Linked DNA regions of Styela clava. The protein of the gene in region 1 binds, or shares a complex with, the protein of each later gene. Links are inferred from orthologs where the notes say so. Each region holds a gene or a part of one and is shown in the gene's direction. Other genes may lie near its edges.

What was found.
Region 2: protein bicaudal D homolog 1-like (region 1) and platelet-activating factor acetylhydrolase IB subunit beta-like share a complex: the UniProt entries of both Caenorhabditis elegans proteins name them as parts of the dynein-regulating complex. The link is inferred for Styela clava from reciprocal best matches to the Caenorhabditis elegans genes bicd-1 and lis-1.

Annotation. Positions count from the first base shown.
Region 1 is NC_135256.1:9,836,460-9,853,714, reverse strand, and holds the start of protein bicaudal D homolog 1-like, read left to right. Parts: upstream 1-8,386; 5' UTR 8,387-8,814; coding exon 8,815-8,895; intron 8,896-10,645; coding exon 10,646-10,780; intron 10,781-12,304; coding exon 12,305-12,421; intron 12,422-12,955; coding exon 12,956-13,051; intron 13,052-13,644; coding exon 13,645-13,773; intron 13,774-15,127; coding exon 15,128-15,216; intron 15,217-16,277; coding exon 16,278-16,428; intron 16,429-16,545; coding exon 16,546-16,625; intron 16,626-17,255. Other genes in the region: uncharacterized protein LOC120328503, read left to right, coding at 1,600-1,895, 2,997-3,824, 4,125-4,291, 4,679-4,758. UniProt on the Caenorhabditis elegans protein: Part of a complex with dlc-1 and egal-1, which is recruited to the nuclear envelope by unc-83, where in turn, it recruits dynein to the nuclear surface and regulates nuclear migration in hypodermal precursor cells.
Region 2 is NC_135250.1:20,621,591-20,638,872, forward strand, and holds the start of platelet-activating factor acetylhydrolase IB subunit beta-like, read left to right. Parts: upstream 1-8,671; 5' UTR 8,672-8,853; coding exon 8,854-8,885; intron 8,886-10,355; coding exon 10,356-10,434; intron 10,435-10,750; coding exon 10,751-10,825; intron 10,826-11,286; coding exon 11,287-11,493; intron 11,494-12,539; coding exon 12,540-12,636; intron 12,637-13,249; coding exon 13,250-13,321; intron 13,322-15,799; coding exon 15,800-15,902; intron 15,903-16,606; coding exon 16,607-16,706; intron 16,707-16,982; coding exon 16,983-17,111; intron 17,112-17,282. UniProt on the Caenorhabditis elegans protein: Positively regulates the activity of the minus-end directed microtubule motor protein dynein. May enhance dynein-mediated microtubule sliding by targeting dynein to the microtubule plus end.

The DNA of each region.
Region 1 (17,255 bases):
AGCATTTATCATTAGCCTATAGTAGACTACATAAACATATGCGTGTTTTATTTAGTCGATTTTGCATGCTAAGTGATGATTTTTAATAATATTTCGATCACTGGCGATAGTTTGTTAGTTACCTGACATATACATTGTGGTAATAGGTAAGCTGTAAAATTTTGACGTATGGAATTTTTTTTAGTTATAAATGACGACCGCGTGCATATTGGTTTTTAAGATGGCCTTACACGATTTGAATATATACAGTAGCTTAGGTACGTACATCAGAAATATAGGAAAATTAGACATATTCTTCAGTAGTCAATGCTTATTATTGTGGATTTTAAGTCTCAGACAAAAAAAACGTTGAATCTGGTGGTCTGGTATTGCAGTTGCATAAACGCCAATAATTCTGTCAGTGTCGCTACAGAAATACGTGATATAAAACTATTGTAACAGCCCACTTCAGGAATGTCTATGTTTTTTTGATTATCCTATAAATATAATATTAACGAATAGCCAGCAATTGTATAGCCAGCTATCAAAGTCACAATTTTATGTTTAAGATCAATGCCTCTCGGAATTTGAATTTTACTTCGAAATACAGTAATATTAAAATGTAATTTTTACGTCATATTCAATGCTGCCATTTAAGTCATATTATGATGGCATAGTAAATGGTTCGAAGTCGCCCGCTATATTATCTTTGATCGCTGTTTTCGGTTAATGAGAAAAAAGCCCTTTACAAAAGAAAAATTAAAAATATAAATTTAAGATTTAAATCGGTGTTATTTAGTTATATGTGGCTTAGAATAAACATTTCACGCAAAAATATTTTTGCTCCAAATTCACTATTTATGTTATTTTATTGTTGCAAGTTTTATTAATCATAGGACATTATAAAAACAAAATATACAACTGCATATTGTACGCGCTTAATTACTTTCCTCTCAGACCTTTCAGAATATGGTTTGGCAAAAATGTACTCTATTGTTTGTGAACAAAGTGTAAAGCACAACTAATACTAAAACACATCGATTTGATCAATTAATTTAAAGCACGTTTCCCCAGTACGTTGTGGAATTTTGATTTCTTTCGATTAAGTAACGTCTTAAAAATTATGTATACATAAATTCCTGATCGGCCAAATTTATTCTAACGGTAATTGAAACGATTTATTTTGGGAAAAATATATTAATTAGATCATCAAACTAAGGTTGTGGCGCCAATAAACTAATGGAAAGTTCTGACATCCATCAGCGTTACGATCTTGAATATAGCAGTAGGAAATGTCATATGCCAGGGATTTAAAAGCAATCTCTGCTATTGTCTTCTAATTAGAATAATTTTGTGTGCTTATCGATTCCTCAAATAGACTTCAGGGATTGTGCTTGACTTGAATCCATTACTCAAAATAAATTGCATTTCAAAACAAATTGTTTATTTTGTTGTTTTCGCAGGTATAATGCCCGAACCTAATTAGCACAATAGAGATTAGTTTGTTCGTAGCCTATTTTCTCTAATCACACTGCTCCCGGGAGGTCGCCAGTGTGAGTTATGCGTGTGCTGAGGTCTCGGTAATTTTTCACAACAGCGCTTATAATTTGGTCGTACAGAATGAATAGGAAAGCCCTCATCGAAGTAGGTGAAGACGAGCAGGAACGCCGTTTACAGCTAAACAAGCTTTCACTTGTCGAACTGACCGTTCAAGATGAGTCGCGACATGGACAATACGTTATGGCTATCATTGGCAAGATCCGTGTAGCAAATGTAGGATTTGAAAAATTCGTATTTGCTCGTGTTACATTCAACAATTGGGCCTCATTTCGAGACTACAGTGGATCATATATAGAAAGTAGTCCAGACGGTACAGGTGACATCTTCGCCTTTGGATTCACTCGTCGTGATAAAACGTAAGAATGAAATTTGATATAAATGCAGATAAATATTTAACCTATTAGCTTCGATACCACTATTGTTTTGTAAAACAGACTCATGTTGCTATGACAATTACTACATAATTCATAGCATCAATTTAACATTGAACATTCTTCGAGTCCAAATAAAAGTTCTGGTTCCGGTTTGTATGCTCAATTAGGGTTCTAAAAGTAATCCGACACACATCCTTATTATGTTCAGCCGCTTATATGTGATTCGTGGATTTTCTCGGCAATCAATCTCCAAACCTCAACAAAAGTTGTTCATATATGTTGCAGTGTCGCATATTTCTGGCTGTAGTGTGGCTATATATAGCTCTGAAGCTGGTAGCTTTGTGGTGGGCCATGTAGTATTAAGCTTGCCTTTAGCCGGTTTTTCTCTCGTTCTCATTGTATTTTTATATGCAGTGATGTCTATAATATACCTCGAGCTGTTATAACTTCAATATACAGTATATCGATTATCCAAATACCTAAACTAATGTCAGTGTTTTTTTTTGACAAAGATAATGGCATTTCTACCCTTTTACGTTTCGTCGGAAGTTTATATATGTATTTATTAACACTGAAGGCGAAATGGAAATTTAGAAAAAATGGATTATAACGCCATCGGGTGATAAAGCAGTATCTGTTATAAAAAGATGAAAATGTCGTCAGTTTTCTCGTTTGACTTTGAAAACACATGGTACTTATGTGCCTTTTTATTTTAACATTTAAATGTCTCTCTCAACACCAAGCAATAAAATATATGTATCTAATGGAAGCTACATAATAGTTGTGTATGCATATAGATTTGTCACATCAAGATTAAGAATTTATGAGGTCGTTCTAGTAGTTCAAAGCTCATGTCAATCTGAACAATCTACATCAAAGAAATGTTATAAAACTAAATCAGCAGTCAAGATAGCGTAATCGTATTTACAATGTTATGATGTTATAACTAAATATAGTATTCCAACATATTAGCTTAATTTCTTCATGCACAAGTATAGTAAGTCTTTAGTTTTGCTTTCACCTAACCGATGCAGCCTAAATTCTTTTGTGTTTATGAAAATTATTTTCCATCTCTTATTTCAGGCCAGTCAACGTTGAATTTGCATTATCGGGCTCATTGGAAGGAAAAGAGTATTGGGAAAATAACAACGGTAAAAATTACTGTTTTCACTTAAGTGAAGATCCTCTTAATGACATAGCAACTGGAAAATCCGAACCGGGCGTTGTAACGACCTGGCGAGTAGCAGAAGGAAGTTCTCCAGATAAACAAGAGGAAATTGTCTTTGATACATCTAGTTATCCACATTTTGAAGCTCACCCCTTAACGCCAACCAAACTCAGTTATTATACGACGTTGCATCGGGCGCCAGAAGAAGAAGTTGTTCCCAGCAAAGCGCCTGATACAAAACATATCCGTGCCTTCAATGCATTGGCAATTGGAGAGTTGTGCGAAGTTGAAGACAAACCCAGCAATCCAGATGATGGAGCTATCGAGGCGACAACTGCTACTTTTGCGGAAACGGGTGTTTGCATGACCGGCGAAGAAACGCAAGATGGAATCGAAGTTCAAGCAACGGAACCGACACAAGATCAACAAACAGTTGAAGATCCCATTGAACCGATTAAAATCACCAAACCGATAGACGACGAATCGCCTGATGACGTTTTTGATAAATTAGAAAATCCGAAAGAAGAAATGCGAGTTGACCTTCAAATCATTGAGGAACCTGGTGACGGAAACAGGCCAGATGGTGAGAGAAAAGATACCGACTTGACGGCAAACGATGCTGCGGGTCAACAACTAACAGAACAAGACCCTGGTAAGAAAAAAGACAAAAAACAAACAAAGGATGAAAAAAAGAAAAAGAAAGAGGCGAAGAAGCAGGAGAAGAGCGACAAAAAGGAAAAGAAGTAAGTGTAGTATTCAGACTATTTTCCTTTGTTATGTCGAGCTAAAACATTTTTCGCGGTAATCGTAACGTATTATAAATAAATACGCCCATGGATAATTTCACGCGATCTGGTAGAGGCTACTTTTGCTAGGAACAAAATTGATACAAAGCTTATATATATACAGCATAGCCAGTTAATATGTAAATGCGATAATAACCATGCCTCTTAGAAATAAAACCCAGATTTATTTTTTCTGCTAACAATTGGATAGCCAGAATCTCGCATTTGGTTTTATGAAAGTTTTGATTAATATCTCAGAAAATCTAAAAAGAGCAAAGCTCCTCCAGTACCCCAAACTCAACAAAACGAAGATCAAAAACCAGATTCTGATACACAAGAACAGAAAAATGGAAAGGATAAAAAACCATCTCCTGATCTCCAAAATGGCGACGACCAATCAGTTTCAAGTAAAAAAGAAAAAATAGGTAAATCCCTTTGGATTGAATTTTTCCGATATTCTAATTGTACGAATAATGAGTTCAGTTTTATCGGGACCAACAAATTACCCTTGTTTAATATTTACGAGCTCAATATAACTTTTTACAAAATGTCACTTCATTGAGACCATTATTTCTATTGATCGACTCAAATTCCACACAAAATGACGTATTATCATCAATAATATGCGAAGTAAAATATGCAAATAGCATGTTACTTTTAAATGAATATTGTCCATTGAACTATAGAACTGGTTTACTGTAATAAAAATACGTTACAGAAGCACGTTTGAGAATGACGAGACGTAACTTTTCGACTAATTTTGCGGGACAAGCGTCATGGTAGATGCTTTCATTTGTTTTATATTTTTCCAGGAGACGAAGATTCCCCAAAGAAGCCAAAGAAAGGTTTTCTTACGAAAATGGCGTGCTGTGGAAAGGCCGAACCAGACTGATCTCGTCTGATGTGGTTGACCTATTACTTTGTTTTATGAAGAGTAAAACCTATAACTTTTTGTTTTATCTATGTCAGTATTACGGGTCATCGTTTTTGGCACTTGATGTACTAACTACTAATGCACATTTTCATAGCACTTCGTTTTGGCAAAAAAAGGAATTTTTATTTATATCGAGTGTTTGGTTGGGAATTTGGGGTAAGTTATATGGCAACGGAAGAGTTTTAGGATAACCTCAGATGATAGCAGAATTATTGAATTTATTTATGTGGATAGGAAATACAGTGTAAGAGAGTTCAGATGCCAGTGGCGTTCAAACTTTAAAAAGTTTTTTTCTTGGGTCGATTTGTGCGATTTCCCCTTTTTTAGCGTTGCGCGAAGCCTGATTGAACTAGGCTACTTCGAAGTGGTGATTCAGTTTGATAGGTGAGAGCACACTGTGTACTTTAATGATATAAATCATTATCTCTCTCTCTCATTCTTTTTAACCTATTCGGTTTGAAATGATTATAGAGGTTGTGTTTGGTTGTACCATAGTTCTTTACAGCTTACTTATCTCAAAATATCCCTATTTTGAGCAATGTATGATTCTCTGATCAAAAATATCTGACTGCACCAAGATGGCGCACATCCTGAACATAGTTTGTTTACCAGGTTAGGGTTCAGGTTGTGCGCCATCTCGGTGCACATACTTCGGGAGTGCCCTAAAGTCTATATAGTGTAGTGTAGAATCTACACAAACACAATATTAAATAAATATGGTTCAAATCTAAACACCTAAATAGCAAACTGGCAAACACTGAGAAGAAGTTCAAATTCGAACTTATTGGAATAAGCAGACATGTTTGTTTGCACACTTATGACAAAGTTGAAACCGAGAAACAAAACCTTAAGATTGGTTATTTACCACTATTAACTAGGCTTACCATACGTCCCGGTTTAGCCGGGACAGTCCCGGATTTGACATGCTGTCCCGGCCGGTTGACTCAAATGTCCCGGTTTGTCAGCACGGTTTTCATGGGTAAAAAATTCAAATTCATTATTATTACAAATTTTTTTTTTAACGGTGACAGCCCATTTACCACTGTTTTGCGACACACTTTGCTAGTTCAGAGAGAGAAATCGCTCTATTGTTATGTCACAATTAGCATATGTTTTAATGCGTTTTCTGGCGTTAACTGCAATGTCGTTAAGTTGTCGAAATGCCAAAAAGAAAGTACAAGTTTTCTGATGAGTTGAAGAAAGATTTTCCTTATTTGAAGCAAACTAAAGGAGGAAAGGTACACTGTACGCATTGCAGATTTGTTTTTCTATTAGTCATGGCGGACATTCAGATGTCAACAATCATATCCAAAGCAGGAAGCACAAAACATTGAGGCATCGACTCGACTGACCAATTTTGCGATAACAAATATTAGGATGATTCTGTGTCGTTGGCAGCCGACATTTACCTATCACACTGCTATTCATGACCAAAGTTTTGACTGCACCTCTAAATTAATTTCAAATTTTTTTGGGGCTAAATTTGCATTAACAAATATACACAGTTAGAATTTTTGATGTCCGCTGTCTGATAAGCGGATTCGCTGATTTTGCACGTTTAGCCAGAAATAAATGAGAGTTGGTGCATTGCTCCGCTGTTCTCCTCTGAATTTAATGATGATTTACTTCAAGCTCGAATGGCAACAAAACGCAGAAAAGTTGAAGCTAAGTGCAAAGGGTTCAAGCTGAAAATATTCAAATGGAATTTTTTGAGATGCAATGAGGAAATAAATCTATATTCTATTCGAGAGATGTATCACTGCATGATTTTTAATATAAAAAGTATCATCCGTTCAGTTTCAACTTTCTAAAAATATGTGCGGCCCGCCAATGACTCGCAACCCTTAATTTTGGCCCTCGGGCGACAAAAGGTTGCCGACCCCTGCCGTAGATGTTGCAAATATTCTGTCAGAGGTGAAGCTAAATTTGCAGGGAAAAAATTTGTATTTAAAAAGAATGTTTGCGATTTTTAAAAGAAATGTCTATCGTATATAGAGCTGCACGATGAAGCCTACAATGCTGCCAGGCCACACATATGGACAAATTTGAAGAGTGAAATAAACTGGACTGTTTGTGTTTGGTCTGCAAAATTGATAAATGATATGATTGGTTAGCTGATCAGGTTTTGAATAGCGATGCACTTTTCGACGAATACTGATAAAGAGATATTTATCTGAGCGTGGTTCAAATGCAATTTGACTTACTTTGCCGGTTGAAATTAAGTAGACAGAGATGTTTAACGTTTTTTTTAACAGAAATATTAGCATTTCGAATTTGCAGCAAATTGGTTGATTTTGTTTTTCGGAACATCTGTTAAAAGGATATTTTCCATTGTTAAAAAATTTTGGTCCGAAAGCAGGTGCAGAATGCCAGAAGAAAATATAAAACCACTCCGTAACCTGCAAATTTAATGGTGATGTCTCTTGTTATCAGTTTTATGACAAAATCAAAACAAGAATTTTTGAGAAAGGTTCCATCTGCGGACAAATACTTTTGGTCTAAATGAATAATACAAACTAATTTTTTGTGTTTTTTCTAATTCAATGATCAGTAGAGATTTACAGCCGTATATACCCGCAATGGCATGGTAGACGTTCCAATATTATCAAGACTGGCAATCGACCGAATGTTTGCCAAATCGCACCGTCCCGGTTTTTTGTTTCAGATTTATGGTAAGCCTACTATTAACTAATCTACTCAACATACAAATGCCTGTGCAATTATATTTCAAAACACGGGCATGATATAGCACAATTATTTATCTTGACTGAAACTGACTACAATAAAGGCATTGTAATGCACGTCATCAACATAATAGTGTTGGGCATGAATAAAAGCGAAAAACAGGAAAATTGTACACATTTTCTGAGCCATTCAGTCTGTATAGGTCAGGACAACATAAAGCTTGAAAGTATTTGCATCATTTTGTAAAGATTATTTGGCGATATATTTCCAAACGACTTGCTACATTTTCTATTGTATAATTTCATAGGTTCTAATATTACCGTCAAAAACAGAATATTAAACACGCACTGCCTGTTCTCCGATGTTAAAAACACGCAGTGTGCTAGTGAACGTGAGAATTATTTTGAATGGAAAATAAGCAAATTTAACAGACAATTAAAATATTTAAATATCTTGTGCTTAATTAATGTACTTTAAAGAAAAAAGTATAAGCTGACAGAATATCTTAAAGATGATAAGGCAAAACACAAAATGATTTAATTGCAATATTTATACAAGAACCCAGTTGCAAAAATACTCGAAGAATACTCGGCGGTATGGCGGTATCTCGAGGGGGATAATTATATGCGAGAGAATTGATGGACTCCTTGCCGCTGATGATTAAATCGTCTAATCGGCTTCCTCCGCCGCCCGGGATAAATATGTGAATCCTAAACCTAAACTCTCTCTCTTCCTGTGTTTTGAAATTCGAGTCAGTTTTGAGCAGTCAGTGAATGTATCAACTTTAGTGGTTCTCCTCGCCGTCTCATTTTCAAATAAAAGTACAAATAGGTAATGCGTTAGTCGATAAATCTTCATAATGTTTTGAAAACAAATCTTATATTTAATTATTCAAGTCGAGCCTTTGTGATCTGTCTCCATCATAACGAAGAAATTTTAACTGAATCAGATTTAACCGGATATCTTATTACAGACTCGTCAAAATCATCAATTTGATTCATACTTTTGGCCGCTGAATCTTTTGGAGACGGGATTTTGCAAAGAAAACTACCGTATTACTGTGTTATTGGGAAATAGGGTTCGAGTTGGGCGCTATTTTTGTCCCCTTTGAGCGCGAAATTTGTCAGCAAATGCCTCTCAGATGTGAGATACCGTCACGCAATCCAACTGGGTTTTAGCCTTCTCGAAAGACGACTGCGCCAGTCAAGACAATTCAATAACGAATACCGGTACCGCTACTGGATTAATGCTTCCCAGTTTTAGCTGCACATGCTACCGGTACTCAGCTATTCTTGTAGCATATTGCTGTATTGTATGAACGAGTAGAACATGGATTTATCAGATGATGTCCAACTTATCATCGATAGACTCACACATGATTTAGAAGAAGCACAACAAGAAAAAATTCAGGTAGGTTTATTTTTATATCTGATTCTGGGATTACCGTACAGTATTATGTTTGATCAACTGTACTGCTGTACTGTTGGCAACTGTACAAAGAATTGAAAAAAAAATTGCGGGATTTTTACATCATCCTGCGTTATTGATTAGTCAATTCCAACCGAATAATTTAGTTTTTTGATCAAGAATTTGAATATGTATTTAAATTATTCGCATAGGCCTATCTGCATATTCCACATTTCTAATCTAATGGTTAGTGGATATGCAGACTTGGAAACAAATGAAATATAAAAATTAGAAACAGTTAACATCCTACGGTAAACGTGGAAATGATGGACAACAGAAGAATATGATTCGAATATCACAGACCACTTTCGAACTATGACTTGACATTGTTGTAGGAATCATGCTGACGAGTTGTCACACCAAGAAATAAGTATCGATAAATGGTCTGGCATTTTTACTAAACTCTATTACCTACCTCTTACACCAGTCAGTACAGCACACTATCCAAATTCCAAGAATTTCCCTCCATTTGGTTAGATAAAACAAACACTCTATGTATCTCACAAACGAGGGGCGTCTGGACCATGTCAGATGCTTCATATCGCGCCATGCTTGTCTCAATAATAATCTTAATTTATCGCGGCCGTCACATGACCAAAATTGCCGTTTTTTGCTAAAAACTCTCGAATGATACGGTAAAAAAAATTTCGGTAAATTGGTTGATTTTTTTCCAAGAAATTCAATGATGACGATATTAGATTGCATTTTTTTGTAGTATTTTGCGCAATTTTATTGCACTGTATTATTACCGATATTGAGGGACAACAATGTCCAGATGTCTCCCAAAGGAGGGGTGTCTGATCATCTGTAAAATGGGTTTCTCTGGGACGGGACAATATCACCCAATTTGTATAGTGTGCCGTACTGCCAGTATTTTTTCGATTCCAAGTTCTGAAGATGTCCCGACATTTGATTCAATAAAACAAACAGTCTTTTATCTCTGACACCGTTTTCACCTCACACACTACTTGGCAGTTGTTTACCTCAATCAAATTGTCGGTTTGCTTCGAATGTGGCTGGTGTCCCAAATCCCAAACACAGTCCAATCCACTTCAAAGTAAACAGTCGTGAATTGTGACCCACCGTGTTTATTCATATTTTTTTTCAATAAATGTTTGTGTGTACAATGCGGCCAAACTGGCGCAAATATTACTATGTGTTTTAAACCTATTGCAGGTTTTGCTAGTTACCCCGATTTCCCAATCTTGTGGTTGTTCATTATTTTTGTTTTGTATATGTTTTTTGCGAGGAAATATATATAAACTCATCATCATTCCTGGAGCCCTATAACCGTAGAATTTCAGATTTTATTAACATATCATTGACAATATTTTAATTTCACAACACTCCATTTCTGTATTTACATTGTACTGTTTACCATTGCCACACTATCCTGCTTTTTCAAAATTGACTAGTTCATTTCTGTGAAGATATACTGGGCTAGGCTCTTGCACTTACTCCATGGTTTTCGAATCCTAATCAGATATGCTTCAGATAAAAAAAACTTTATTGAACTTTAAAGGTTTGCGAAGCAAATATTCACAAAATAAAAACTTGAGATATGAACATAACTACGGTGAAGTAATATTTTAAAATAAAGCCATATTAAGAAACCACAGATTGATAACTCTGTATTGGAGTATTGTTTATTTTTAAGTTTTATTTGCTTGAATTCTTATTTTTAATATTTCAGGCGGCTGAATATGGATTACAAGTCCTCGATGAGAAGCAAAAACTACAACAAAGATACGATGAATTAGAGGTTATGTTAGATTCTACTCAGAGAGAACTTGATGCATCAAAGAATGAATTTGAACTCAGCAAACGGGTATGAACTATCATAAGTAGACTACTTTTGAATTTTATATTAATGAAAAAACATACTAATACAGTAATTACGTTTTCAACTTTTTGAGTTAGGAATCAATTGTCTGTTTTTAAAACTATGCTTTGTACTTTTTTAATTCAGAAATAGTTTTTATGCAGTGAAACATTGTTAGAACTTGCTTTATCAATTTTTACATTATGAAATTATTTTGCAATACCAATTCTGACATTATGAAATGAAGAATATATATAAATTTTAAGTCTGTTCTACAAATATTTTTGAATATAACATGGGCCTAATTTTGTTGTCAATTTTGTTGATCAAAATCAGAAGCTTACAGATTGAGCCAATTCCAACTTATGCCTTTAATCAAGTAGTATTAAACGCTATTGAATATATCAATGCAATTCAATTATACTATTAGTTTGGGCCGTATACTATCTAGTGGGACATTTTTAGTCTTTTTGTAACACCTTCAAAGATTCATTCAAGTTTGTCAGAAGGCATTTTCAGGTTCACTTATATAGGATATACTGTATCTTTCTTTTTGACAGTATTTATGATGGAATTTTTTATTTGGAAGTTTAGGAATGTAAAACATTCAATCAGTATTTATTTATGTCGCATATAAGTGCAGCAAATTTGTGTAGCATAAATAAGTCCTGCATTCTATTTTTTAATTAAGCTTACTCTCAAAATTTAAGTTTGTATCAAGTCCCCATTACATTTTGATCTCTGTGACCCGAGTATTGAAGTAATTTGAAATCAACAATTTCCTGAAGTTGAGCTATACATCGTTTCTTTTTCCCTAAATTTATTAAATCAAATCAAATGTTTATTTATAATTTTTTGATAGTCTATAAACTTTTAAAATCCATATTTTTGAACTTGCCAATGTTTCTAAATAATTCTCATGAAATGGCGTTGTGGCGCATTATGCTAAGTGTTAGGAATAGAGGCTACCGCACCTCTGATTACCCTGCGTGGGTTCACAAGTTCGAATCCCACAAGATTTCCTCTCCCCTGGGATAAATATGGGAATCTTATTCTATCCTAAATGCTTAATATGACATTGGGTAAAAAGGGGACAAATCATATATTGCAATGAAGTTTTGTAAATAATTTTGATTAAAAAATATTAACTTCTTGTTTTAAAAATATTCTATTTGATCTAAAAGCTTCATTCAGTTATTTTAAACTTCAAATCACCGTGGCCATAGTATACTGTAGAAAATATGGAACTCTGTATCTGGTGAATGAAATATTTCTAGTAGGCCTACTACTAACTTATAACTATTAATAATTGCATTATGGGGGAAATAAGGACTATTTGTCATATTCTAATCCCATGGGGGTCTTAGTCATATTCTAATTTTATTCGTATCGAGTTTCTCTTGTTTTGGCCCTGGCAAAGTATCTAATTTACCAGATATCCTTTTGACATTGTCAACAGCTAAATGAAAATTTGACAATATGATGATAGATCTTCATAATTCAATAGAATAGATATTTATTTTTTATTAGGCTCTTGAAAACAGCCAACATCAAAATAAAAGAGTATTTCATGATGGCGAAACTCGCGAACAAACATTATTACAACAAAAAGAACAAACAGAAGAAACTCTGATTTCCACAATACAGGTGTTTATTCTTTACTATAAAAGTTATAACTGACTCTTAGTACTAGTCTTTAGTTCTTAGAGTTCTTGTCCACTATGGATTCACATCTCAAGCAATTGTTTTATTGTTCATCTCAGTACTGTAAATGTTTTTATTAGGTCTACAATGATTTAAAAATAAAAGACCGTAGACTGCCAATATAATGATGGCTTATTCCTGCATTTTTGACTCTGTGATATATATTTTCTGTGGTACTCTCGAAGTGTGTGTACCAGGTTAGGGTTAGGCCATAATTTTATTCCAATTTTTCTTATTTTAGTTCTATAACGAGTTCGGGGACTGTCTGTTTTAGTCAAGTGAATATACCCCCTGCCCATAGGTTTCAGTCCCTGTACACAACTTGATGTAAAGTAGGCAAACAAAAATAGTTAATTTACAAATGCTCATTACGTTTTGAGACAAATAAAATGAATATATATCATATATATATATTTGTATTTTTAAAAGTCAAAATTTTGTAATAGCTTCTAAAATTGATATTGATTTACTATATAGGATCTTGAATCTGAGTTGATTCAAACGAAACAAACCTTGAAGAATGTGTCAGCAGAAGTTGATGGATTATCTGCAACGAACGGTGAACTTGCAACGGTGAGAATTTTTCCTCTTCACAGCTTTAATATAATCCTTATAATAGTAAATATATAGCGCATGCGCATCTATGGACATTTTATGTAAAATTAAACTGGCAGTTGAATATTGTCAGACTTTCTTGAATTTTTCTACCAAAGGTAAGGTGTCAAAACCATGGCACCCTGATTCAATTCTGCCATTTTACGTTACTTAATAAAAAAAAGTATCACATCATGCACAATTTTGTATGATCATGCTTGAACCACCTCCATCTTGTCCGCCAATCTTTTCTACAAAGCAAGTTTTGGATTCCAAACCCTTACCTGTACTAATGGATGGCCTTAGTGGTCTTAACGTTACCGTTAATGACGTTAATTACTGCAGCGGAGGAATTAATTATCGATTTAAATTTGAATCTTTTTTATGATCAGATAACGAACTTATGTGTAAATCGCATGTTTCATTGGTTTCATCATTGAACTCTCGTGTGCATGTATTTGAGCATTGCTCTCTTATTTTGTATAGTACTATATGCCTCGAACCTCAAACTGGAATTGTATCCTAACTCAGAAGTTTTTTGTAAATGTTTAAGACTGATATTTTCATTTCAGTCTTATCAAACGCTTGAGAAACAGAAGAGTGCAATTAAAAGAGAATTAAAGGAAACAAGAGTCCGAGAGTCAAGGTTATTGAATGATTACACTGAACTTGAAGAGGAAAATTGTAATTTACAAAAACAGGTTCGTGCTGTCACTCTTCTTATTGATTTTACTATAATATGATGAGTTAGGAAAGTTATGACTATTGCTGGTTAATTCAAATTAAAGTCTTTGTGTTTGACATCGTAGACAGTTGTTTTCAACCAAGGTTCGACGACACCCTAGGGTTCCACAAGTTTACATACCAGTAGATATTTCTCAAATATAATTGAATACACTGGTATAATAAAGTATGTTTTTACTGGTGTGTTTGAAAGACCGTCGGCCGTTCTATGTCAAATTGTTGTTTCACATTTTTTAACGTATTTTATGATAGCTTGCATAATCAATAAGAGATTGAGATTCCGGAATGTTTCTTAGATTTTCCGTTCCACCAAAAGGGTTAAAAACCTCTAAGCTCTTAACTCCCAAAATTGTACTGCGGCCTGTGATTGGGCAAAATAATCATGTGAACTGCGAAAGAAGACTTGTTAGTTACTTTATTTGTAGTTTGTAATTCTACTTTGATTTTCTAAGAAGGTAGGCTATTGTAGTCTGTCTTTCAATTATTACAATTAGTATATGAAAAAATAGTTGGAGGCAGTTATGGAAAGAATATCCTTATACTTACTCTATAATGTACCCCCTGAAAAGTTCTGTACCCCTGATAGTACATGTAGTCTACTCCAGTTTGGGAATCCCTGCAACAAAATATATCTAGCATACAAGGCTAAAACTTGAAATTTGTTAGTTTACAATGTTGTATTTCACTTGCTATTTGATATTGCTTCGTAGCATTATTTTATAGCTATAGTTAAATGTCAAATTGTTAAACATTCAATTTAAAGGCAGTAATATTTTGATAAGCATTAGAAAACTTTCGATTTATGTAGGTAGAAAATATCATGTAAAGCCCAACAATTTAATATAGTCTTATTATCTCACAATACTCACTATGGTATTATTATCATAATTACGTTGTCATAAAATTTCCTTTTATTTTGTGGGATTTATGATAACTTTATTATAGGCGTATTGATCATAATTATCTAATTGATGAGGTAGTTGGCGTAATTATTTCAATCTAATTAGTAACAATTATACATTACACAATTGGAATTTTTTTTCAAATTATTAACCTACCAAGCATGGGCTGTATTTGGATTGTGCTATTGAGACACGATCCAGCTACGGCCCATGCTTGATAAAGAACTATTTCTGTTGAAGTTAAAAAGTAAAATACTCATTTTGAATTTTTTATCACCAAATTATTATTCTATCGGGCATGGGCTGTAGTTGGATCGTGCCGATGAGGCACGATCCAACTACAGCCATGCTTGATAAAAGACCATTATTGTTGAAGTAAAATCGTTTATTTATAATATTTTTATTCTAGGTTTCGGCATTGCGACAATCACAAGCGGAATACGAAGGTTTTCAACATGAAATCAAGCGACTTGAAGAAGAAGCAGAATTTTTAAACAGGTTGATAATAAAAGTTGGAATTCAAGCCTTATTGCTATTTCTCTCTTAGATCTTCAAAACTACTCGAGACCTTTTTTGTTCACTATTTAAATACTATAATTTGTGGATTGATGACCAAATTCACTTTTCTGAAATACGATGGCATTTTAATGATGCACAATGGAACATTACAGCATGAACATTGAACAAATGAATGAAAAATCTTGGAAGGAAATTGTGTAGTACACTCCTCTCTCTCCTATCGAAATGTCCATAATGTGTGGGGTTTAGAAAGGAATGATGTTGCCTGCAATATATACACATAACTGAATTTGGCCTTTGATAACATGCTTTGTTTACAATCTCTCTTTTGGCAGAATTGAATGTAAGCAAAAGTTCACAAACGACCTTGTTTGGATTTCTATATCATATGACAACACATCTCTTGTATTTCGCGCATTTACTGAATAATTTATGATTTATTGACCATTTAGTGTAATGCAATGTGTGTGGCGATTTTCTTGAATGGAAGTTACAGCCATGTCGTTTGGATTGTTGGGAAAATGTGAATTAAAAAAGGCATAATTTATCACACAATCTATCCTTTCAAAGTCATGTTTTTTGTTCTTGTTGGTATTTTTCTTATTTTGGTTATGAAAAAATCGCTTTTCCCATTAACTACTGGACCAATTGCTTTGAAATTGTCAGTGGTTTAAGATTGTTTTTTTCGCCATAAGGTTATTACTTTTATTTATTTCGAATTTTTTTTTCCATGTTGGTCTCTACAACTGCGGTACTGGTAGTCTACTGTGACAGATTGCATACTCATACTTCTTTGTTTTGGCCCTGGTTTCCATATATTTGAGCATCGCTCACTTGTTAGGCCCTTAATAGCCATTTGCTTAAAACCAGTTTTCGAGAAATAGATGGCGCTGGCTTGCGACTTAGCGAATAGATTTCTGATATTTATTATGTTTTATTTATTCATGATGACTTTTATTATATTGATTTTCTATTTCCAATGTATTCTACTCAAAAAAGTTTTTTGAAAAATGAAAAGGGTTTTATTCAATTTTCATCAGTCAACTTGAAGAAGCATTGAAATTAAAAGAATTATTAGAAAGCCAATTAGAAGAAGCTCTGGACACTTTGGCGAAAGAAAGAGAACATAAAATGGGATTGAAAAAAGAATTATCACAATATGTTAACAATATTTATGACACAAGTTTTGCGGTAAGTTTTTTATTGAATTTTTCTATCATTTTCTAAATAGATATCATACAATAATATTGAGACATTTTATTAATAAATCCATTATAGCAATTCATCATACAGTTCCTAAATTCACAGGGTCAGATTGATTTTTCAAATAATTCATCATTCAATGATAGTTTCCATGTTGGAAAAGATGGAAAACAGAAAAATAACAGGTGATTACATACTTATTGAATTGAAACAATATTTTCTATCCATGCTTTTCTCATACATCATGACATTTTTTTCTACTGTGCTAGTCTATTCTCAAATGTTGTTATTTTATATTAATTGCTGTTGAAGCAAATATGACCCATTATGCGATAATTATGTCCATATCAACAAGGTTTTCAACTACAATTCATTGAATTCCTGTATTTTTGTAAAATTTACAAGCAAAATCGACAGCTTACAGCAGTGATGCCTTGATAAATTGTTAAGAGCAGTTCTTTCTTCAATCAATCAGACCTCTCGTTAAATATTTTTAGTTTTATCAATTATATTCAAATTAGTCATCCATATAGATATGTATTGATTTCTTATTTAATATAATCAACTCATTTTTTCTGTGGTATGTAAATAATCTTATTTATGTTTCAATAATCATATAACAATATTCAAAATTCAAAAACTCAGCGTGAAAGAGTTATAGAATGAAAGAAAACAGATAGAACACTATCTTTTGATTTATGAAGTGAATTTATAATTTCTGTACAGTGTAGGCTATATTTTATGTATTTCACCATGCTGTTTGTCGGAGTCAAGAGTCTTGTAGTTGAGGTGTGGTGTTTGATTTACGGTACCGT
Region 2 (17,282 bases), on another chromosome or scaffold:
TCAGTCAAATCAAAGTCGTTCTGTTTTTTTGTCATGTGAGCTCAGGGCAAATTGAGTCATTGGTTTAAATCAGTGGTTCTCAACCTTTTACTGGCCGCGTACCACTTTCGAGTTTCTTAACCTGGCTGCGTACCACCAACAAAACCCCATTTGTGGTGGGGACAATGGCACAAGAAACACGCTATGGTAGTATTTTATGTGGCTCCACCACTTTTTTACAGACCTTCATGCAAGTTTCGAAGTATTTATTGAATGCAATAACAACGTATTAATTGCGTGCAAAATTGCGTCATCAACCGTTAAAGCTGAAATGCTTTAATCACTGCAAAACGAATCGAATTAGGGCAAAACTCGGACGAATACACTTTGGTCGTCACTAGCCGCTATCACGAACTGCCTAACCTAGTCTCAAAATTTATTTAACCCCAAAAACTCAAGATTATGCTGATCATCCAACACATACATCAAGTAGCAATAGTAGCATCCTGGTAACCCAATCCTATAAACCCGTTCAGCGAATACATTTAGTATGTACGGTAAGATTAAGAGAAATTGCTTTTGCCATATTTTAGCCAACTCAAAAGTTAATTGTTGCAATAATTCAAAGCTGCTCGCGTACCACTTAAAAAGCTCCCGCGTACCACACTAGAATGAGTACCACAGGTTGAAAACCACTGGTTTGAATGGGCATGAAACAAAATAATTTCTTCAAGTGGACACAATCTTAAACATTTTATAGCTCTGTTGGTATAGTTAGCATATTCTCTTAGCACGTAAATCCCACACTTATCAGCCCCATGTGTGTTTTGTTTGAAGTAAATTAAGGGTGGAATTAGAATGCAATTCGACACTGTGTGCCAACAAAGGTCAGAAGATTAATGGCATATTTGAAGTTGTTTTTAATATGAAGCAGTTTTATAGGGTTTGGTGCTAAATTGGCTGGAATACAAGGACCAAAATTTAGCAATCTCAGCTGTGTCTGCAAATTTTAATTGGCAAATCTGTATTACCATGATTTTGTCTGTATTTTGACAAAGCTCAAATCAGTAATTTTGTTATATATATATATATATTCGACACCATTTAGTCATCATAACAGATGATAAAATATTTGATAAAACAAATAGATAGAAATAAATAGATTACAGCATCAGGAGCGCAAACAAAAACTTTAGTAAGGTTTAACACAAACAGATTTTTGATTGAAAGATGTCGTCTAAAAAAGTGGTCCGTATTCTCTCACATTAAAGTGTTGAATTAATATACACACACATATATAGTCTATAACCACAGAGAAATACAGCTGTATAGTAATTTTTTTGCCACACCATATGAATAATTGTGAGAAATGCCAAATTGAATACAGAATTCTGAAATTAGTAAACAGGAGTGAAGACATGTAAAGAAAAATGATCATTGAAAGATAGCACCATGCTGATTATCTGGATTATAGGCTAGTCTCCTAATGTTAAGAAAAAATAATCATTGAAAGATAGCACCATGCAGCCATGCGGATTATAGGCTATTCTCCTAACAGCCTAAGGTTAAATTGTCCAATCAGAATCGCCAAGTCAAGTTGGATGCATGAAGAGATGGGCTAGACATTTAGACAGCAGATCACAGTCCTCCCATTTTAAGATGTCTCGACATTCACCTGACCTTCCCTGCTGTGAGTGCACTGGGGCTCACAGCGTTTCTCTGTTTTAGCTCGCATGCAATAAAACACAGAAACGAGATGCTGAGATACCGGTACTGTATTGAGCGGTTTTTTTCAGCAAAATTTCCGTTTTTTTACCAAAAAAATACCCATGCAACATTAAAAAAATTGAGAATAGATGTATATCAGTATAAAACAGCGCTACCAATGATAATTAAAATTGACAATATACGACGTTTCTTAGTCAAAATTGGCGTGACGGTGTGGCTCATCATGCTAAGCATCACTGCATCAGGAATAGTCCATGCGGGTCTTTCTACTTCAGTACTTACTTAATAGAGCGCAGAAGAGAGGGGAACATTTTTCTTCCCTTATTTATACTATTTGCTTCCCTGAAATTTTAAACAATTTGATGGGAAACAGTATACAGTGGTAAGGAATGATCACAAGTTTATATCAGTTATCTTCAACATCTTTAAATAACCCAACATGACGCACCCTAACCTGGCACACATACCTACTGTGCTCAGGCTGTGCGCCATCTTGGTGCACATACTTCTGGAGTTCCAAAATTTTTTTGATTTTGCTCATTGGTGTGCTCATATTGTGTCACGTCAGGTTATTTAAAGATGTTGAAGATTACTGATATAAACTCGTTATCATTCCCTACTACAGTACTACTGTTTTCTGTTTCCCATCAAATTGTTTAAAATTTCACGGACGCTAATAAAACAAAAATGTTTCCCTCTCTTCTGCGCTGTGCTCTGTACGTAAGTAGTAAGACCGAGTCCATGCTTTCCTTTCCCCCGAGATAAATATGTTAATCCTATCCTAGGGTATACTGGTATAGGGTGGCTTACCCACTTTGCGGCCAAGACCTACTTGCGACCATCAACTTCATCGATTAAATTAAGGCCGAAAAAATTAACGAACCGAGACGATATTTCTCACGCGTTCTCGTCCACTTATCCTTCGTAGCTCTGCGAAATTACACTAAAATGCGGCGACAAACAAAAAAGTTACGACCGAAAACCCGACCGAAGAAAAAAAACGGACCATTTTTCCTTGTCGCCAACTGCCCATTGTCCCTTTGAAAAAGCTTGAAAATCCATACAAATATGAGAGATAAAAAGTTGAAACTTGGCGGGTGGGTAGAGTTCTGTTTCTTTTAACCATCTTTAAAGTTTCGCGTTTCTACATTTAAAGGATGGGGAGTAGGGGGGTGCGCATTTCCAATACGTCGATAATAGCATTGTCGACCAATTTGCGACCACCGCGTTTTTGTTTGTTGGATTGCTGTAATGCGGTGCTTTGTTTATAATTTGACGAGTTTTGTTCGAAATAACCTTGTTCTTAAAATATAGGACAGTCAGAAATGCAATTAGAAGCTAATTTTTTTTACGCATGGCTGCGTATGCCCTAGTCTCACGCAGCAGAAATGATGTTCAAGGCTTGAAATCCGTGGTTGCACACTGGTCGTTCGGTCGCAAATACGTCTTTAGAGTGTCGCACTTTGGTGGTTTGTATAGCTTTAACCCCTGGTCGTAGAAAGTTAATTCGAGGTTTAGCATGTAGAAGAAATGCCCATGCACCTACGGTGAAAAAATAAACGGGTTAGAAATATTGGTTTTTGTTTTATAGCGGTTTGAATGAAATCGTCCGCAGACTGGCTACACCACCCTATGGCCGTTTAAAATTATTGTCCGAAGTTTGGAACTGTCCGAAGTAGCCACTTTTACGGTAACAAATAGGGTACTGAAATACCAGAATACTGAAATAAGACTCATCTGGTCCTTCTTTACCATTGAGATAAAGCTAGCCGTACGGTACCGGTACGGTAGCCATTCAGTCATTCGACTTCCGGGACTAAAGGACTACGTACCGGTATCAGACTATGCACTGATGCAACTAGGCCTACCGGTATATCATAGTTACCGTACCGTACATCTGTATATGTTCATTCGCGTGCAATAAAACGCGGTAACTTATTGCTTTCTGTAATAGTTGTCGTCTGTTGATACGGTCCCGCTGATAGTCAGAAATGAAAGATTCACTAAACCCACTTCGCAATCGACAACCGCAAGCTGCTAAAGCTAGTCAGCCGGTCAACCCATTCGACTTCCGCGTTTGGAACGTCATATCGAGGGGAGATCCCAAACAGCAATACATAGCGATTGCATCAACTAATACAACCGAAATATAACGAAACCTTCCGACAGATTTGGTCAAAGGTCGTTGGAATGTTTTTTTCTTTCATGAAAGGCGTAAAGGTTACATTAGCGATAAAACTGAATTAATGTTGACTAAATATATTTTTGCTTAGTAAGATATAGTATAGCAATTGCCATAATATATAAAATTGAGAAAGGAAAACCTTGCGATCCTACCAAAACATGCAAGTGGGGCAAAGATCCCGGATAATCACGATCCCGAAATTTTGGCTCATTTACTTGTTAAGCTTACCATACGTCCCGGTTTAGCCGGGACAGTACTGTTTCTGGCGAGCTATCCCATTGTCACGTCCAATGGACCAGTCGTAAAAATTTCTTTTTATTCAATGCACCGTGTTTCTCCGAAAATAAGACCTACCCTGAAAATAAGACCTAGCCTGAATTTTGAAAATGATTTTAATATAAGTCCTCCCCAACGACTAACATACCGTCCTCCCCGTAAAATAAGACCTAGTGAATAACGCGAATTTTTTTTTTGACCTAGTCGATATCTCTTCTACGCGTTTTAAACTGAATGATTGATAATAATCGATGTTTTGCAGTTATTTTGAATAAAAACGTTTTATTTATAAGTAAAGGAATATCGGTTTCCATATTTTGTATATATGAAAATCTCGTAATTCTACTTTGTAATTTCGTTTTTGATGAATGCAAATATAAGACATCCCCCGAAAATAAGCCTTAGTGTTATTTAAAAAAAAAAGTGAATTTAAGACCCAGTCTTATTTTGGGGAAACACGGTAGGCAACCGATTTACCACTGATTTGCGACTTACTTTACTAGTTAATTGCGGGAACTTGATTTCTTAGCATGCAACTGACAGACTTAACCTGGTAAAAAAAAACTTGAATAAATAAATGTACAATTATTGAAACACTACTGATAAATTGACTGACCCAGAATAGCGTCACACAAAATGACGGTGAAGATGCCTGTTTTTGCCAACCGAACGCAATAAAAGTTTCACGCCGACTAGTATGTTTTATCCCAATTATAATTTCTGTGGTCGAGTGTGGCCCACACCTAGCCTACTACCATGCTGCGACGTCCCTGACTTTAATTCAATTTAATTCGTTTATTGGCGCTCCAGAAGTGTGTGTACCAATATGGAGGTAACTAATTTTGTTCGTCTTTTGAAACCTATGGGAAGGGGTATATTCACTTGGCTAACATAGAAAGTCCCCATCGTGGTCCATATCATATAACACAAACAAATCATTGTAAATAATTTTGTTAAATTCCATATAGACTACAGAGGTTTGTGCTATTAATTCCACGCTTATAGATATTGTTTCCATAAAAGTTACGCTGTCACGCGATTTAATTATCCGTTGAAATAAAGGGCGGTTTGCAACACTAGTGGCACGATTGCGGTCTGATTTTGTTTCTTGGGCGAAATATAATTCAACTTATATCCAGTGGTGGGATTCAGTTGGCACGCACCAGTTCTTAGAACCGCCTCACGGAATTTTATGAGATCAGCGAACCGGTTAGCATTACTGGTTACTGTCAATGTTCTGTTTGTTCTGAAAAATATGATATTTGAGAGGGAACGGCTGACAAAAAAATTGAATCCCACCACTGCTTATATCCTATCTCATCGTCCGCATTTTGGTAGTGTACGTTTCTAAAATTCGAAAAATGGGATTTGGGTTAGAACGTGATAATATCTGTTTTGTGTACTTTCTGAAGTATTGAACTGGGGAAAAAGGGTTGATTGACAACCAAGCGTCCAAAGCTTTTGTCCTGGCACCATCTTTCTACGACTTTCTGCGAAACCAGGTAAATATACGGATTGTGGTTCCAGTCCCATTGTATGTCCCTTAAAATGGCAAAATAAATATCTTGAAATTTTTTTTATCAACCTAGCTTGATGTATCTTTTTGTCCATCTTTGCCAAAATGAGTGGAGAATACTCCCGTTTTATTAGCATCGAAATATCTCAATTGAACACCACCGCACTAAAGGCACCGAGTTTATCAGCTAGTCGAATTCTACCCATTGAGGTTTATAAGATTCTATCCAATCTTGAGCTTCTGTGTCCACTTCATGTGGTACACTTTTTACAAAAACAAACTTTCATGTTTCATCTGAACTGAATTGATCAGCACGCTATTGTATACCAGTAGTGAGCGCCTTGAACCAATGTACACCTGTAAATTCAGATACACTACAGTATAGTTTTCTTGATAATTCGAGTCACTCATACACTTGAAAACACAAAACGGATCGCTGCGGCTTTTTTCAGATCTTGTATCAGCAGTGCAATATGCATGGTGGTGATTCGTAAATAACAAGTCAAAGATAATAGATTTTTCTTTCTATCGCATAAGTACTGGCTCAAACATTTCAGCCCGAATCAGGAGTCCTTTCTTCGCAGTTTTATTTTTATTCTATTTTTCTTTTATTTAACTCTGTCAATCGACGAATGAAAGGTAAACAAGCAGTCCGACCTAGCTAAAGGTAATTAATTATGTCTACAAAAGAAACATGTTGACGCTTCAAGCTCTTTTTAGGAAATAAAAATTGAACAAGTGGATAGTATAAAAATAAGTGGGTGTCAGGATTGATGATAATCTAGGCTAAAATTCCCATACTAACCCACTGGTCAAGAATTTATCGCAAACGGCTGGGACGCATTTTTAATTTCAAAACGCTTAAATCGGTTCCTTATTATAGTTTGTTTCACCCACGACTGCAATATAAAATTCTTAGTAAGGGTCAGCGACAAAATTCGTCATTACAGTTAAGTAAGTTTTACAAAATCAAGTTTTAAGGTGGGCTACATATCGTTTTCAGAGAAAGTTTACTGTAAGCATGAAACTTTGCAGAGGATGGAAATGTATTCAATGAAAAAATGCAAAATCTATGCGTCGACATGAAGATGATCTTCAAAAGGGCCTTTAATCACTATTTTATACTTTCAAATAATGTTCATAAATATGATATCCGTCTTAAAAATTTGGGTTTTATTTCACGACACAGGTTTTCCTTTCGGAGGGAAATATATTTAAAATTCAAGAGAAATACAATTCAAACAAGAGAGCTACGCCCAAATATATGGACACGTCTGTTCGCAGTACAGTACGGTGTACCGTTACTAGCGTACCGTCAGATCACAGTCTACAAATATATTCACACCAAGCGAAGCAGTACAGTAGGACACAAAATGGCGTCCGATGAACGCAGAACGTTTAATGACGTCATAGAAAACAAAAACAAAATCTCACAGAGCTAACAGGTATATTTAAAATGAATAAAAGTAATAGCCTTCTGGGGAAAAATTTTATCTTCAACCACTGAAAATTTCAAAGCAATCGGTCCAGTATTCGAAGAGAAAAGCGGATTTTTAATATTTCCACTAGGTGTGTTATTCTGTGTCAAATAACAACAAGAACATAAACAACATAATATTGAAACGATCGTTATGTTCACTACGTGTCCAATAATGTTGTCCATGTGCTGGGTGCTGTATTGAACGCTATCTGAAATCAAAAATTCATCTCATTTTCACATTTCATTATGTGCATTGAAGTGTAATTTCAACTGCATGTATATAGCCTCCAAATTATATACCCTCCCCAGAATGAATGTTTTTGTCCTCAATACAATTTACTCAGTGGTGGGATTTAAGTTATTTGTCAGCCGGTTCCATCGCAAAAGTCATATTTTTCAGCCGGTTCTGAGTTGGTGCGAACCGGCTGAATCTCACCACTGAATTTACTGCTAATGGCTGACTTTCTTTTGTAATAAAACAACATCAGGATTTTTATTATTGAATCCTTACTAAACAGCGCCAAGGCGGCTAATTTGACCAGGAATTTAAGCCTGATAAACTTTCGGGCTCAGTAGCCTGCCCGCCCTGCCGAGTGCCGACAAAACGAAGACCGCTAGAAGTTTTGATATGAATATGAAGCATGTCCGATCTCAAATGTTGCATGACATGCATTGTCCATGATCCGATCAAGATGGCATTGCCCTTGTCATGTTTAATCAAGCGTGTAGATTGACTTGTCACGTGACACATTGACTGTCGTTTTCACTATATTTTTGGAAAGATTGCTTTGTTTCGGTTTAATCTGGGGTACGGTATCTGTGCGATAATGCAACGACAGCTTGAGTCACGCCCTGTATTATGTTTAGTACCACTGGAGGACATCCACTGCTAAAAGTAATTTTCAATAATGCCACCTTAGTATCAAAAGATGAATTTAACGATAATTTAGTTTACCACAAATCTGTCGTATGGTTTATAACGTTGACAACAATCCGACAATTGCCAGATTGCTGAGTGAGCCAAAATCTGAAGCTGCATTTACTGCGGATACTCGAAATTTTTTGGTATAGTTTATATGGCAGTTTGGTGTCATTACCATAACACAGTACCGTAACATTTTTATGTCATTGAATAACAATTTTGCAGTTTTGGTTAACTGCTGTCAGAATATCCTCAATCAAAGTGACTGGTAATTGTTATCACATCTCAGTCTGTTGGCCCAACAGTCTGCGATGTAGTAAGTTGTGATATCTTTATATCCACGGGTTGTTGAATTGAATGGCTAAAGGGTAAAATGTATCGGATTACAGGATTAGTGAAAACTGGAAGTGAATCGTATTTGATTTTTAATTAATATGTCTTACATAACCATACATGGATAGTAATATGTTTGGAACAAAACGGTTGGTAGTTTGGAGCAAACGATTCAACTTGCATATCTAAAACTTTGCTATTGCGTTAAGCTGCTACATTTTTTCAAAGTTTTGCTAAATAATCTCAGAATCTGCCATTTTGAATTTGCAGATTAAGCTTTATTATTCCTTTAGGCAATTGTAATTCTGTAGAAATTATAATTCGTATGGATCATAATTGAATATTCAAAGATAGTTTTTAAAGCTGTAAAGTTAGATCGCCAGTAAAGTAAGAAAATACTGCAGTATCGAGACAACTTTCGGCATGCAGTGAAAATGGTTTTATCATCAAGACAACGAGATGAGCTGTAAGTTCTTGAAATTTCATGTTCTATAACCTGAGTAAATCTGCAAAAAATTGCAAATGATTAATTCCGATCCAGGACTTCAACCTACAGACCCAACTGGCTAAAGAAGTACCGTAAAACCGGCTAACTTCGGATGATTTCACTATATTTTGAACAATATCTCCGCCGCATGTTGTTCAACTTAAGCCAAATTTGGAATATAATACATTGTGGCTATTCTCGTCTTGATAAAGTCGGTTCCATATCCATCAAAGCCTTTTTTCATTGAAATTATTGTCTTTATTCGTCTATTCTAAAATTATCTAACTTCGGATGGCCACTTTTCTCTTTGCGTCAACTCGTCGTGAGAGAGAAATGTCTGCGTAAGCAATGACGCGTGACAACGTCGCTGAATAGTCCTTACGCCGCCACGACCCGTCTTGCGTGTTGCATACTGACGTTTGTACGTGACGTTACTCTTGCCGCTTCGCGAAACTTAACTATTTATTCTTGTGTCCTTTATTATAACTCGTATATATTTCACTAACTACTCCTAATTTATTGCATACGGTATCTATCGGTGTCGGAGGAAGTATGCAAAAACAAAAATCGACAAATTTCATATGCATTAAGCGTATGCATACCCATATTTTTAAATAAACAACATATGACTGAGACGATAGTGATGTTTTTGTAGGATATAGTGACTAGGATCATGGATAAGCATAATTTTTAAATTTCACAAAACTGCCGCGATGTCTGGCGTTCAAATGTCGCAGCGAGTAACGCACGAGCTACGCAAAGTGACGTCGGCTACGAAGAGAGAGAAAGGGATTTGCGTCGTTGACGTCACGCTGTACGTAATCATCAAAACGTCGATATTTTGATGTAATTTTTAAATCAAAATAATCGATTTCACTCGAATCTCGTACGACACCTTGTGATCACTGTATTTTTTTGTATACATTGTGTACGCTCTCTAGCGCTTGGCGGTGATTTGACGAAAGTAGCGTCTGTAGAAGTCACGATTTGAGCCGCTTGAAAAAACGGTGTCATTTTTTTGGTAAAATATGATTTTTTGAATGATAAAAAATCAAATCGAGCGATTGGAGGCTACGGCAGATTCAGATATGTAAGGCCTTACTATAGAAACCGACAGAAGCGCAATACGACGAAATTTAGTTGAGATATGAATGATTGAAAATTTCATCCGAAGTTACAAGGCATCCGAAGTTAGCCGGTTTTACGGTATCTGACATACTTCTGTACTTCTTGCTTCGATACGTTTCAACTGTTTTAGTCTTAAAATCCCAGTATAGTAATTTTGATCTAATAATAGATCTAATGATCTACTAAAATAAATAAACTTGAATTTGCATAAAAATGGCTGTAACATTTTTAATCCTTGTTACGTTCTGTCTGTGGTAACATTCTGACATTTGTGCGATACATTCACTCTCGCTTCAATTACACAAATAATTATATTTTCAGAAACAATGCCATATCAGAATATCTCCGATCAAATGGGTATGATAAAGCCTTCAATGCCTTCCGAATGGAAGCCAACTTGGTAAGTTTTCTTATTTTCAATATTTTATAATATAGATAATTAAAAAGTATCCTTGATAACATGAGTTTTCCACATGATCATTCGAATTTTGAAGTCCCAGTGCATGGATTTAAAGTAATAGTATTGCAGTAATGTAGTAATGAATATTGCTACCAATGGGTCAGAGGAACTGGAAAAGGTAAACAAAACTTGATAAGTCTTATCTAATTAGTTGTTTGATTGTATAGGTTTGTTTCTTAGTCCCAGTGTGGATCATCTCATTATGATTTGGTATTGCTAGTTGGCCTTTGAATCATGAGCTATTTTTTTTTTATAGTCTGAAAATATTGACAAGAAATATGAAGGACTCATGGAAAAGAAATGGACATCTGTTGTTCGTTTACAGAGAAAGGTAATAATCAAGAAAGACCAAAATAATGATTTAGGATTCAGAATCTATTTAGCAAAATAATTTTCAATATGGAATATCAGATAGGATCTTCCACACAACAGTGAGTTCACTGTTTTCAAGTCATTATTCATATAATTTGACATTAAAATACAGAAAGATAGAGATAAAAATAGTGTTGATTGGTTAATTTAATAATAATATTGCCCAATACTTAAAAGAAACATATCTCAAAGAACAATATTATCACCGGTAATCCTAAATTCGAATCTACTGGTATTTGGATCTTGCTTTGGATATCCCTAGTATTGTTTAATATTTTTGAATTCTCATTATAGTTTTGATGATGAGCAATTGTGGCCGCATTTAATCACATACTGTGTTGATGTTGCAGATTTTTTCATTGCCGTATAATTTCAAGTTCTATTTTAATATCTTAATCTTTAAAATGTTCTTATATTCAGGTCATGGATTTGGAATCCAAATTGAATGAATTAAAAAATGAAAGTAGAGATGGAATTGTCCCAAGAGATAGAAAAGATCCGGCAGAATGGATACCACGACCACCGGAACGTCACTCATTAAGCGGACATCGAACACCGATTACGAGAGTAGTTTTTCATCCTGTGTATTCAGTATTTGTATCTGCTTCTGAGGACACCACAATAAAGGTCAGCTAAAAGTTTTCAATATTTGTTTAATTTTTTCTAGTGATTAAGTCTTGCTGCTTACTATCACAGATATATTTCTGTAACGTTTCGTTCCAAGTGCTGAGGAAGTATTATATGCATACCTGAGCATAGAAGAAGGATGAGTAGTTAGTCCCGCAGAAACCAAATCAAAAGCACATTATTAAATTATTGCTACTTTTGTAGTTGATTCTCTTGTTTAATAATCATAACGAAAGTGAATTATCATGAATGGCAAAATCTAATAGTTTATTATCCCAAATAATATATATAATAATATTCTTGAATTTTGAATATATTCTTTATTGTTGGATCATGTTCAACAGAGAAATTTGCAGAAATCAAATTTACAGAAATGTGTGAATTTATTGAAATTGAATTAGGTAATACAGTCTATACAGAATATTTAGAATAAGCACTGCTCACATTGATAAAGGTTTTCCAGTGAAGGGAGGTTTAAGTCTATTTACGTCTGAGCATCAAATGTCAAATGCCTAAAATAAAAATAAAATTTAAATATGTATTTTCTAACCATTCATTAAGCTCACGCATGTATTTATTATATTGAATCTCACTAATTTCAAATATATTCAATTTGTTTCGGATATCCTTAGTTCCAATTTTTGTCTTCATGGTTATATTTAGCAAATACTATTTGTCTTTGAATTCATTTATTTCATCCACAAAAAAGTATTCTCATAATTTCTATCAGATTTCTTCTCTAAGCAAAATCAGTAGGAGTTTTTATAATTACCATACCTAACATTTCAACAGATGTCTGAATTTCCTCATATATACATTCTTATGTGCTAGGTAAGGAGCTACCATAGATTGAGGGACCAGAATCTTTCCATTTTTGCATTGCTTTTCTAATTTTACACTCTGGGTGAGATGGTGGGCATGGGTTTTTAACCCAACATTTTCACCTGACATGCCATCAAAGTAAAATCTAAAAGTAAAGTTGACCTTCTTAATTTTCAATCAGTTTTATTGCAATCTCATTTGAATTTTTGATTATATTTATTCAGGTATGGGATTATGAAAACGGTGATTTTGAAAAAACATTGAAAGGACACACAGATTCTGTTCAAGATGTTAGTTTTGACAGTTCAGGAAAACTTTTAGGTTAGTATCAATTTTGATATGACTTGATTCACCAAAAACAAAGATCGTCTTACCCCCAGTAGGTCAGTTTACACAATGGTTTGCTCTGCTCTTCACATCATTTACAATTTAGAAAACCTATGAGTGGTTTGTCACGTTTATTTGAGTGCAATAGTTGGCGTTGTTCAGACTGTATCAAAATTGAAATATACAATCTGTTGGAATATCATTTGTATCCAACATTTGGACTCAATGTATCTAGATTTTACTTTTAGTAATCTATTTCCACCTTGCTCGAATACTCACATTTCACATCAAAAGAGGTTGACAGCCTTTAATTCTTGTACGTTGGTCATATCAACTTTCCAAAATTTGAATATAAATGAATATAAAGAAATTCATCAAGCATTAAAATTTAATTTTTTTTACTGAGGTGACTTTTCGTGTGTGTCTACCTAACATTTGTTTCAGAATTCCTCTGTATGTATGTATTAGTATTAGCGCTTTATAATACTAGCAATTTCAAATCCTTTATTTTTTTTTAAATTTGGCTTATGTACATACATCCTTTTAAATTCATGCCTTCCTTATAATACAAATTACCTTGATACAAATCATTTTGTTTGTATTTTAGCATCTTGCTCTGCTGATATGACAATCAAGATTTGGGACTTTGACGCTTATGAATGTACAAAAACTTTACATGGTAAGACATCAGTGGAAGTTAATAAATTTTTCAGTTTTTTTAGATACTATCATGATGTGATATATTTGAAACTAATTATGTATTCAAATACATTTAGGATTTGGTTGAATATTGGTTATAAAGTTGAAGTCATTTGAAGTTGTTACAGTTCACACACGGAGTTGGGCAAAGTCCGAAAATCCTTTTCGCAAAACGCCGCATTGAAAAAAACTATGTACTGTTTTTAAAAGACCATATTATATTCTTACATTTAGTATAATATCCCAAATTAAAGATTCGTAAAGAAATACATTAGATGCCACTTGCTTTCAGTTAATATTCATGAATAAAATAATGTCAATGCGACTGATGTATTATTTGATGACTGACATCAATCAATTTATGAATCAATGCGAGAAGTGAGATTTACTAATTTTCAGAACTGACTGCGGATTTGGGTCAGTAATAAGATTTCTCTTAATCTGTTCTGTGAGAAATTTTCACAATATAGTCTCAAATTAAAGGGGGCGTACAAAATGCTTTAATACTGTGTTGTAATTTAACAATTGTATCATGAATTGAAATTGGCAAATGGTATATTTAAAATCAGATATGCAGTCAGACTTATGTCTAGTCATATATATATTCCACTTCTTTTCTCCTCCAAACATGACTTACTACTATATTATGTAATCAATATCCAAGATTTATAAATAGTTTCAATATTTGAGCCTTGGCCGGCCCCGATATTCTTCAAATTATGCTTACACTTTGAAAATCTTTTTTCCACGTAGTACCTTTAATAAATGTATAATCATATGCATACCTACATCGTGAATTGGTGTTTGAAAGAGATACCATTTGAAAGTGTTATAGACTATAGTAGAATTTGCCTGCACTATATGCCTGCTGAAAACACTCCCACCGTTAGTTTAAATTATTTATGTGAAAAGAGTTGTTTCTTGCATAAAGAATAAAAGGTGACGCAACTAACGTTAGGAATATTGTTTGCATGAAACAAGATCAGTGTTTAGGATCTTCATAATAATTCCTATTTAAAAATTATTTTTCAAATTAAGACTTTGTTAATAAAATTATGAAAATATATAAAAATCAATTTCGAATCATAATTACTGTGCATGAAAGATCAATTCAGAATAATAAAAACGTTAAAATTTTATGTAAAATATTATAAGGTACTCTGGAATATTGTAAGGCAAATAATTTTAGTTTCCAATTCAAATGGACTGATTTCACTGAATTTCCACTTCACATTTATGTATTTAATTCTTACGGAAATTTCTAGGTAACATATGAATTTTTCCAAACCAAATCAGGAAAATACTGTTGGGTAACATAATTTGTGATTTATAACATTTAAAAATGGTGGATTTCTAGAAGAACAAGTTATATTGTTTAAAAAGTAAAAATTGACGTTTATCTGAGGATTCCAAGGAGTTCAGTTCAAACAAAATACAAACCAAAAAAATTTCCATTAATTCTTACAGATGAAATTGCTATTTTATATAAAATTTATTGGTTTTGCACTGCAGTTATTAACAAAAATGTTATGTTTTTTATGTAGCAGGCTAGGGTTCCATTACATTTGAACCCACGACAATTGCACCGGCATACTATTGCACCTATGGATTTTTTTTGTTTTACGAATATTTGAACCCAAACTAACCCTAACCCACGGGTTTTAGCACCCGCATATAGATTGAACCCACGGATATACACATGGGTTCAAATGTACGGTCACCGTGGGCTATATATAGCTCTTCAAAGTACTGAACTATTTGGATATAAACATGTCCACAGGTTCTAGTATTTGTATTTTAATCATCAGAACCTGTGCATAAATAAGCCAAGTAACTTGGATGTCATTGAAATATTGTCTTTCCTAGATAAGAGTAACCTTTTTGACCTTGTTAGACCATTAGTTTGCTTTGGAAGTAAGGGCTTTCAATCCTTTTGTTTGTGTATATTCGATAATGGATAGCATTGTGCCTTTTCGAATTAAAATATTATTGTAGCAATGGTTTTTGTGCTTATTATGAATGATAATATGAAAGTAAATTTATTTCGATTATATTATAATATTATATAAACAAATGGAAAACCTTGTATTATATGGATACAAGACAACCTTCAAGCTTTTATATTCTTTCTGAGTTGTGGGTAGATCAGAAACTAATTCAAATTACAGTGCAGTTTATGATATAAAATATGATATATAAAATTCAACTCAATAAATATCCTGAATAAATATTTTTGTTTTTTTTAATCGAAACAATTCAGTTAGGTGATTTTCTAGAATTGTTATATATTGACTTGAATTTCATAATATGGAAAATAAAAAATTTAACTTATCAGTTATTAAGAAAAATGACATCTTCCAAATAATAACATCCTACATTCTTTCACTATATCAGGTTAATTCTTTCTGATAGTGTAGTAGGGATAATAAATGTAACATAATTGTAATTTCTATTGCAGGACATGATCATAATGTTTCATCAGTTACGTTTATGCCAAACGGGGATCACTTGATATCAGCAAGTAGAGACAAAACAATGAAACTATGGGAGGTTGCTACAGGGTATGGATTGAAAAAACACTTTAAATTTCAACATTTTCTTTCTATAACGATTCAAAATTGAAGCAAAAACTAAATACAACTGAACCTTGATAATCTGAATTGGGACTATTCTTGGGTACATCTGAAAATTTATTTTGTGTGGCTTGGAGAATTGTGAAACCTCATTATTTTGCATTTGATGGTATATTATTCAAAACTGTTCCAAACTCGGGGATGGACATATTTGAATAGAATTATATCTTTCCACATAGAAATATTCCAGATCATTGGTTCTCAAACTTTTTAAGCCGCGCCCTCTCAAAAAAGTTGTCTCTGCCCCATCATTAATTAAAGAACCACTGTTTTAGATTCTTCTTAAAATTAAAAATTAACTACCGGTACATAGAACATAATTCATTTTGAATGTATTGAAATATTCGATTATTTGTGGACATCATTGGTTGCAATTCATGGATACGATTGATGAGGGTTTCTATAACCAACCAGTGACTGAAAGAGGTATATTATTCTTAGTGTGCATCACTATCTCCTGGGATTTTGCTCGCCAGTACATTGATGAACGTGCCTAACTTGACACATGGCCTTTCAAGAAAATAATAGTTATATTTCCTTGAAGGAAATCAATACTCTGCTTTCATTCTCAATATTTTTATTGTCTTAAGCTTATTTTTAATACAAGGCATCGTGTGTTTTTTGTTACACAGGTACTGCATTAAAACATATCTTGGGCATCGTGATTGGGTTCGAATGGTTCGACCTAATGTTGATGGAACTTTACTTGCCAGCGCATCTAATGATCAAACGGTACGTCATTAAATGGAACTATTTATGTATTTGAATTATTTACCAACATATTTTATCACAGCTAATTTGTTATGTAGACTCAAGATAGCATTTTCTATTCATCTTGGGGAGATAGAATTTTGATAAGACAGCTCGAAAATATGGTGAACATTTCCCTCTTGTCTAGCTATCGCCCTGTGCCTTGCCTGGTTCACACCGACTTAGACTAAAAGCATTCTCTGGCCCAATGTTAGTTTCATTAATATTATGATTTATGAATTGATATTTTAAAAATAGGTGAGAGTTTGGGTAACCTCAACAGCGGAATCTAAAGCTGAATTGCGAGAGCACTCTCATGTTGTGGAGTGTATATCATGGGCTCCGGCTACATCGTTTCCAAATATTTGTGAGGCTGCTGGAATTGAGGTGAGAATTGGTGAATTTTTTGAATTCTTTAACGTTTTGTTGTCATTAAGCCATCCATTCAATTTATTTATTGTATAAATAATTATGAAACACTTTGTTTGAACAAAACTCAAATTTTATACAAATACCGCCTATGTACCCACCAGATGCAATATTCTTTGAGTATGCCTT